Linked DNA regions of Macaca fascicularis. The protein of the gene in region 2 purifies or fractionates together with the protein of the main gene of each other region. This does not show direct contact. Links are inferred from orthologs where the notes say so. Each region holds a gene or a part of one and is shown on either strand. Other genes may lie near its edges.

Evidence for each region.
Region 1: the proteins of PA2G4 (region 2) and NCL purify together in Homo sapiens (affinity purification with mass spectrometry; 3 studies listed by BioGRID and IntAct, with this or other methods). This does not show direct contact. The link is inferred for Macaca fascicularis from reciprocal best matches to the Homo sapiens genes PA2G4 and NCL.

What each region holds. Positions count from the first base shown.
Region 1 is NC_088386.1:127,383,356-127,386,955, forward strand, and holds the start of NCL (nucleolin), read right to left. Parts: upstream 2,269-3,600; 5' UTR 2,128-2,268; coding exon 2,110-2,127; intron 1,254-2,109; coding exon 1,137-1,253; intron 1-1,136. UniProt on the Homo sapiens protein: Nucleolin is the major nucleolar protein of growing eukaryotic cells. It is found associated with intranucleolar chromatin and pre-ribosomal particles. It induces chromatin decondensation by binding to histone H1.
Region 2 is NC_088385.1:62,892,911-62,896,671, forward strand, and holds part of PA2G4 (proliferation-associated protein 2G4), read left to right. Parts: intron 1-127; coding exon 128-220; intron 221-1,848; coding exon 1,849-1,912; intron 1,913-2,464; coding exon 2,465-2,543; intron 2,544-3,005; coding exon 3,006-3,084; intron 3,085-3,165; coding exon 3,166-3,299; intron 3,300-3,575; coding exon 3,576-3,670; intron 3,671-3,761. UniProt on the Homo sapiens protein: May play a role in a ERBB3-regulated signal transduction pathway. Seems be involved in growth regulation. Acts a corepressor of the androgen receptor (AR) and is regulated by the ERBB3 ligand neuregulin-1/heregulin (HRG).

The DNA of each region.
Region 1 (3,600 bases), on a different chromosome or scaffold from region 2:
ACCATGGTCCCAGTGAGTGTTAGATTCTGGCAATGCTTCTGGTTCAAGACCACATGCGCTAGACACATGTTAGCATGTTAAACTCCAGGCTTCTGTTATGTTGTCTTAGGTCAGAGCCCTTATTATCAGGTGAATACCCAGCCATAAGGAACCCTTTTGAACACTTAAAATACCTCTGAACCAGACCTCTGAATTCTTGCACCTCATATTTTCCCAAACCCCAACTTTCTCATCTGAAAATGGTAATAGTATCATATTACACGTATAACAATAATGAATTGCTATGCGTAAATTATTCAGAACCTTACACCTAGGAGGCTCCAAGCATTAACGTATTAAATCATTTGGGGCTCCTATGGTGGATGGCAGTACTGAGTCCAGTGAAGCTCAATTCTTGGGACCTGAGATAAAATGAAGATCAAATAGGCTAAACATAACTATCCCTTACAAAACTATCACACATCAAAGAGTGAGCATGTTAGTTTGATAAAAGCCATCGTTTAGCTACATGAAAATCCCATAGTTTTATTAGGCAATGTGTGGAAGAATAAAACTTTTATTCAATTCTCAACGAGAAACCTGAGCACAATTCAGTGCTCAGATGTCTTTACAGTGAGCAAATAAAAGGCCAGGACTGCCAAAGAGTAAAGAGGGTCAATGTTAACACAAAGAGGTGGCAGCCCTCAGTCTACACCAAAGATAACTATAACGCAGTGAGTAGAATTACAAAGTTTATATATAATGGAATGGAGACCAATTAATCTTAATTGGAGGCTAGGAAAGGAATCTGGGAAGGTTATCCTCAGATCTGAATACAATGCCCAGCTCTACATGTCGGGGTGAGGCTAACATGTTGAAACTGGAAAAATTTAATGATTTAACACAACAAATCACACTCCTTGCCCTGCAGAGGCACATGGAAAGGAGATCCCCAGACCTCTTGTCTCAAACTCACATTCAAATACTTAGCCAAATGACACCTTGACATGTCAGTGAAGAGCTTGTGAAACCACCACTACAATAGGACATACCTGGATGAATAAAATCTTATTTTAGCCACAGACATCCAATTTCATGTCTTAACTCTCCATTGTTGTAGTTTTAACACAATTCTGCATTAAGCTAGATAAAATTACCTCTTCTCCACTGCTATCATCTTCTTCATCTTCTGACATTTCTTCATCTTCACTATCTTCTTCTACCTCCTTTGGAGGAGGAGCCATTTTCTTGGGGTCACCTTGATTTTTACCTGCCTAAAATGGACACAAGTAGGTCATTACACCTCCACCTCAACATTTCAGGCCATTCATATTTTGCCATTACTGTTCATAGTAAAACGCCATCATCTCTCCTTTCTCAGATCCATTTCTCATAGTGCCAAACAGCACAACATCAAAACGAGTCCTGATGGCAATGCAAGATGGACTACTCTCAACCGCCCACAATTTTCCTCCCGGGCTTCACAAACAGAAAACCCGCCCGAAGGTAAGAAGTAACTACCTTGGTTTTCTCATGAACATTATGCTTTTCCCAGCAAGACAACCCCGCCCCTTAAAGAGGCGGCGCGGCCACGTGGGGGTACCTGGTAGGCCACCACGTGCCCGAAACACGGCGCAAAAGGCACGCGGCAGAGCCACCTTCCGGGGCCCACCACGTGTCGGCTTGCCAGGCCAGGACTCCGACTAGGACGTATACCGCCATTTCCTGGCGCAAGGCACCGGTGCCTCTGGAGATTCCAGGACCCACGCGGCGCGGCCCACGTGGCAGGCCGCGCACCCGGGCACGTGCGTCAGGAGTCGGGTCCCGACTCGTATGCGTCGCAGGAGTTTGGTCTCATCTCCCCACCCCGGGGCCCAGCGCCCCCTCCCCGCGCTCAGTAACTCCGTCTTTCCCGCCGCGTTCGCCGCCCCCAGCACCTGCAGAAGCTCTTCACCTCGCCACCAACTAGCCAGAAGCCGCGAGACCTCCCCACTAATCGCGCGAGACTTCCCGCAGCATGGCGCCCTAGAACGCGCCCGGGACTGCGCGCAGGCCCTCCTCCCCGCGCCGCCGCGCTCGCCCCTCGGAGAGCAGGCCTAGACGTCTGCGCTCGCGCTCAAGGCCGTTTACCTTCGCGAGCTTCACCATGATGGCGGCTTATGGCGGCGGAGTGTGGAGCGGAGAAGTGGCGCAGATGAGTCCAGAGGAAGCCAAGCGACGGCGATGGCGGCCGCGGGTGCTGAAGATCCCGGAGCACGTACACTCGAAGGCCAGCGAGAGCTCGAGACTGAGGCGAAAGACTGAGCCTGCCCAGTAATCGCCTGTGGAAAGGCGACGACGGCGCCCTCGTGACTCCGTGCCGACCAACCAGAGCTCGCGGCAGTCCCCCTGAGCCAATCGCGAGCCTCTAACCGAGAACGGCGCGGGGCGGGGAGTGGGCGGGCCGAGGCGGCCACGGGAGGGGGAGGGGCTGGCAGCCGTGCCGTGGGGGCGGGGCTCGCTTTGTGCAAGGCGGGCGCTGATTGGGCCGTGGGCGCGCGGGTCCCGGCCTGCGCCGTGGGACTGGCGTTTTTGGCGCCGGCTGTGAGGGGACCTCGGGGGTGGTGGAATCGGGCGGTCTAGGGATCTCCAATGTGGCTGGCTCCCTAGGCTCGGGCAGCCTTGGAGTTCCTCAAAGACCCCGCGCGCGGCCCCGGCACGCACTCACGCCGGGGCTCCCGGTGGCCCTGGAGAAAGAAGCCCGCCAGCCCCGGAAGTTCAGGGACCGCGGAGTTCCCGTTGGCCCTTTCGGAGGCACAGCTCAGCCCTGCTTGCCCGCGAGCATGGGACTGGAGACACCCCCGGCTGCAGGCAGCCTTCTGAGAGCCGTTAATAAAGGCAGTCGCGGGTCTGTGCGAGGTTTTTCTGTGAGAAATGCACGAACCTCCCCTACCCCACAGAACCTCAGGCGGGAGATACTTCTCGTCATGGGGAACGGCCTCGGAGAAGTAACTTTCTGGCCTCACAGGGCAAGGAGAGGGGCCTGGGCGGGCCGACCGCAAAGCCGGGCCTTTGACCGCCCACAGGTTCCCTGGTTGTTATTTGCGTCGAATGCGCCAATTAAGGTGGTGGCTGCTAAGTCAGTGTCACCAGATGGCTCGGGAGCAGGTCGAGAGCCACCGGCAGGGTTCCCCGGCGGCAGGGCGAAGGAGGCCGGAGTGACTTCCACGGTTAGCTTTGAGGGTGGGCCTCCCTCGATGCCGGGCTTAGCAACAGAGCATTTCCCTCCGTCCAGGGCCTGCCTGGGATCCATCCAATCCATGGGTCCAGGTATGGATCCATCCATACCTCATTGTTCCTACAGAACCAGGATACCTGCAGCTACGGCTGTACTTGTTAAAAATCACCTCAGGCGGGGCGCGGTGGCTCAGGCCCGCAGTCCCAGCACTTTGGGAGACCGAGGCGCATGAACCGGGGAGTCGGGGATTGCAGTGAGCCGACATCGCGCCACTGCACTCCAGCCTGGGCGACAGAGCGAGACTCCGTCTCAGAAAGAAAGAAAGAAAAGTGTTTGTTAAGGCCAGGCGCGATGGCTCATGCCTGTAATCCCAGTACTTTGGGAGGCTGATGCAGGAGGATCGC
Region 2 (3,761 bases):
TTGTTACTGTTTTTACCCTCCTGTTCATTGGCTGGCCTTCGCATATGGGTTCACAGATATTAACCAGATAGCCAGCTGAGTTAACAAACTTTCCAGGAAGATACTGATTGCATGTCCTTATCTACAGGGGACCCAAGTAACAGGGAGGAAAGCAGATGTTATTAAGGCAGCTCACCTTTGTGCTGAAGCTGCCCTACGCCTGGTCAAACCTGGAAATCAGGTAAGCTACTTTATCCAGTTCCAAAGCTTGGTTGAACCAAAGATGCATTAGACACCTGTTGCTTCTCTATATGAAACTACCAACCTCCCCTATAGACCCCTTATAAAACAGCTTTTTAAAATTAGATATATTTGGCTGGGCACAGTGGCTCACGTCTGTAATCCCATCACTTTTGGGGGCCAAGGTAGGAGGATAGCTTGAGGCCAGGAGTTCAAGACCAGCCTGGGAAACATGGTGAAACCCCATTTCTACAAAAAATACAAAAATTAGCTGGGCATGGTAATGTGTGCCTGTATTCCCAGCTGTCAGGGAGGCTGAGGTGGGAGAATCACCTGAGCCTGAGAGATTGAGGCTGTGGTGAGCTATGATCATGCCACTGCACTCCAGCCTGGGCAACAATGAAACCCTGTTTCACAAAAGAAAAAGGAAAAATAAGCATTTGCTGTCCCCACAAAACAGATTAGAATGCCACGTAAAAAAGGATAAACACTGAACTTATTATAGGCATGTGGTGGCACATACCTATAATCTCAGCACTTTGGGGGGCCAAGGTGGGAGGATTGTTTGAACCCAGGAGTTTGAGACCAGCTTGGGAAACATAGCGAGACCCGTCTCTGCAAAAAGAAAAAAGAAAACCCAGGTTCTTTTTTATGACTAAGTTCTTTCACTTAGTCATTTAACCTGGGGCAAATCATTTAACCTGAGACTCAGTTTCCTTGTCTTCTAGATTGGGATATACATATCTGCCCTGTTCACTTGCAAAATTTATTGAAGTAGACCATCTTTGTGAAAGCACAGGGTAAAATGATATGCAAATACACCTGGTCCTCGGCTTGATGCCACATTCAGTAGAAGCTATGCTTTGAGTACCCATACAACCATTCTGGTTTTCATTTTCCATGTAGTATTTAGTAAATTACATGAGATATTCAACACTATTATAAAATAGGCATATGTTAGATAATTCTGCCCAATTGTAGGATAATGTTTTTTAAGTGCTCTGAGTACATTTAACATAGGCTAGGCTATGATAGGTAGGTTAGGTGTATTAAATGCATTTTTGACTTAGTGATATTTTCAACTTACAATGAGTTTTTTTAAGATATAACCCCATTGCAAGTTGGGGAGCATCTGTATAAAATATTTTTAGATTGTAAGGATAATCAAGCTATGAAACGAAAAACCAGTGAATGAGTATCATTGGGTCTTGATGGACGATATTAGAAGGCTCAGTTCTGTCAGGTGCGGTGGCTCATGCCTGTAATCCCACCACTTTGGGAGGCTGAGGTGGGCGGATCACAAGGTCAGGAGATTGAGACCATCCTGGCCAACATGGTGAAACCCCGTCTCCGCTAAAAATACAAAAATTAGCTGGGCGTGGTGGTGCATGTCTGTAATCCCAGCTACTCAGGAGGCTGAGGCAGGAGAAGAGCTTGAACCCAGGAGGCAGAGGTTGCAGTGAACCGAGATCACGCCACTGCACTCCAGCCTGGCGACAAAGCTAGACTCCATCTCAAAAAAAAAAAAAAAAAGAATGCTCAGTTCAGTTCTTTTATGCTTCTTATTCTCATTGTAGAGAACTTATTAGCTCCTGATATCTCACCTTTTGTTTGATGTTGTACTTCTAGAACACACAAGTGACAGAAGCCTGGAACAAAGTTGCCCACTCATTTAACTGCACGCCAATAGAAGGTGAGAACAGATAACAGGGTTGAGGGTCTAAGAATGAGTGGCTTTGCCGGGCAAGGTGGCTCACTCCTGTAATCCCAGCACTTTGGAAGGCCAAGGCAGGCGGATCACCTGAAGTCAGGAGTTTAAGACCAGCCTGGCCAACATGGTGAAACCCCGTCTCTACTAAAAGTACAAAAATTAGCTGGGCGTGGTGGCGGGCGCCTGTAATCCCAGCTACTTGGGAGGTTGTGGTGAGACTTGAACCCGGGAGGCGGAGGTTGCAGTGAGCTGAGATCGCGCCATTGCACTCCAGTCTGGGCAATAAGAGCGAAACTCCATCTCAGAAAAAAAAAAAAAAAAAAAAGAATGAGTCGCTTTGCAGAATTGAGGCTTTTGCCCCCTTGAAGATCTATCCAGCTATAACCCAGTCTAAGCCAGAAATCTCAGGGCCCTGTGTTTCCATCACCAGGTAGTTTTCTCACTGCCTACCCCTTCAAACTACTGAAGTAGGTAGATTTGGAAATCTTTTGGGATACTGGATAGCTCGTTCCATAGGTTGTGTCCTGTCTACAGGTATGCTGTCACACCAGTTGAAGCAGCATGTCATCGATGGAGAAAAAACCATTATCCAGAATCCCACAGACCAGCAGAAGTAGGTGCCAACCCTATTCATCACCTTCTACCATACCAGACTAGTCATCAGGTTTTTTTCTATACTCCCAACTGAATCTTGTCTACCCTTTACTCCATGCTTTCAGGAGTGACCTGTTGCTCTTAATATTTCCTTTCTCTAGGCCGGGCATGGTGGCTCATGCCTGTAATCCCGGCACTTTGGGAGGCTGAGGCAGGTGGATCACCTGAGGTCACGAGTTCGGAACCACCCTGACCAATATGGCGAAACCCTGTCTCTACTAAAAAATACAAAAATGAGCCAGGCGTGGTGGTGTGTTCCTGTCGTCCCAGCTACTTGGGAGGCTGAGGCAGGAGAGTTGCTTGAACCTGGGAGGCGGAGGTTGCAGTGAGCTGAGATTGTGCCACTGCACTCCAGCCTGGGTGACAGAATGAGACTGTGTGTCAAAAAAAAAAAAGTTCCCTTTCTCTCTATTCCTTTTAGGAAGGACCATGAAAAAGCTGAATTTGAGGTACATGAAGTATATGCTGTGGATGTTCTCGTCAGCTCAGGAGAGGGCAAGGTGAGGAGAGTACCAGAGTTGGCTAAGAGGGGTGACTGAGAGTGTTCACCAGACCAAATGTTACTTAAATTACCCTTTCAGGCCAAGGATGCAGGACAGAGAACCACTATTTACAAACGAGACCCCTCTAAACAGTATGGACTGAAAATGAAAACTTCACGTGCCTTCTTCAGTGAGGTGGAAAGGCGTTTTGATGCCATGCCGTTTACTTTAAGGTACTACACTTAGCAATGATAGTACATGGAACCAGTCTGACTCACAGACCATACACCCAGGAACACTTTTTCCTCTCCCTTCCTGCCTAGACTTGTAGCGTGCACGTGCTCACTCCCTCCCTCTCTCTCCCCATCTCCTTCTCACTGAAGGTAATGTAAAAGAGCAATCCTAAGCATGATTTCTGCCTGAGGGTAGGAGCTATTTTAAAATATGAGCAAAATGGTAAGACTTGACGGGGAGTTAAGGATACCTCTGAATATCATCTTCCCTGCCAGAGCATTTGAAGATGAGAAGAAGGCTCGGATGGGTGTGGTGGAGTGCGCCAAACATGAACTGCTGCAACCATTTAATGTTCTCTATGAGAAGGAGGGTGAGTTCTAAAAAGGAGCTTCACTTTGGATTCCCTGATTATATGATATCCTTCCTATAAATTCAGAAGAGCTAAGTATGACAAAGGAACT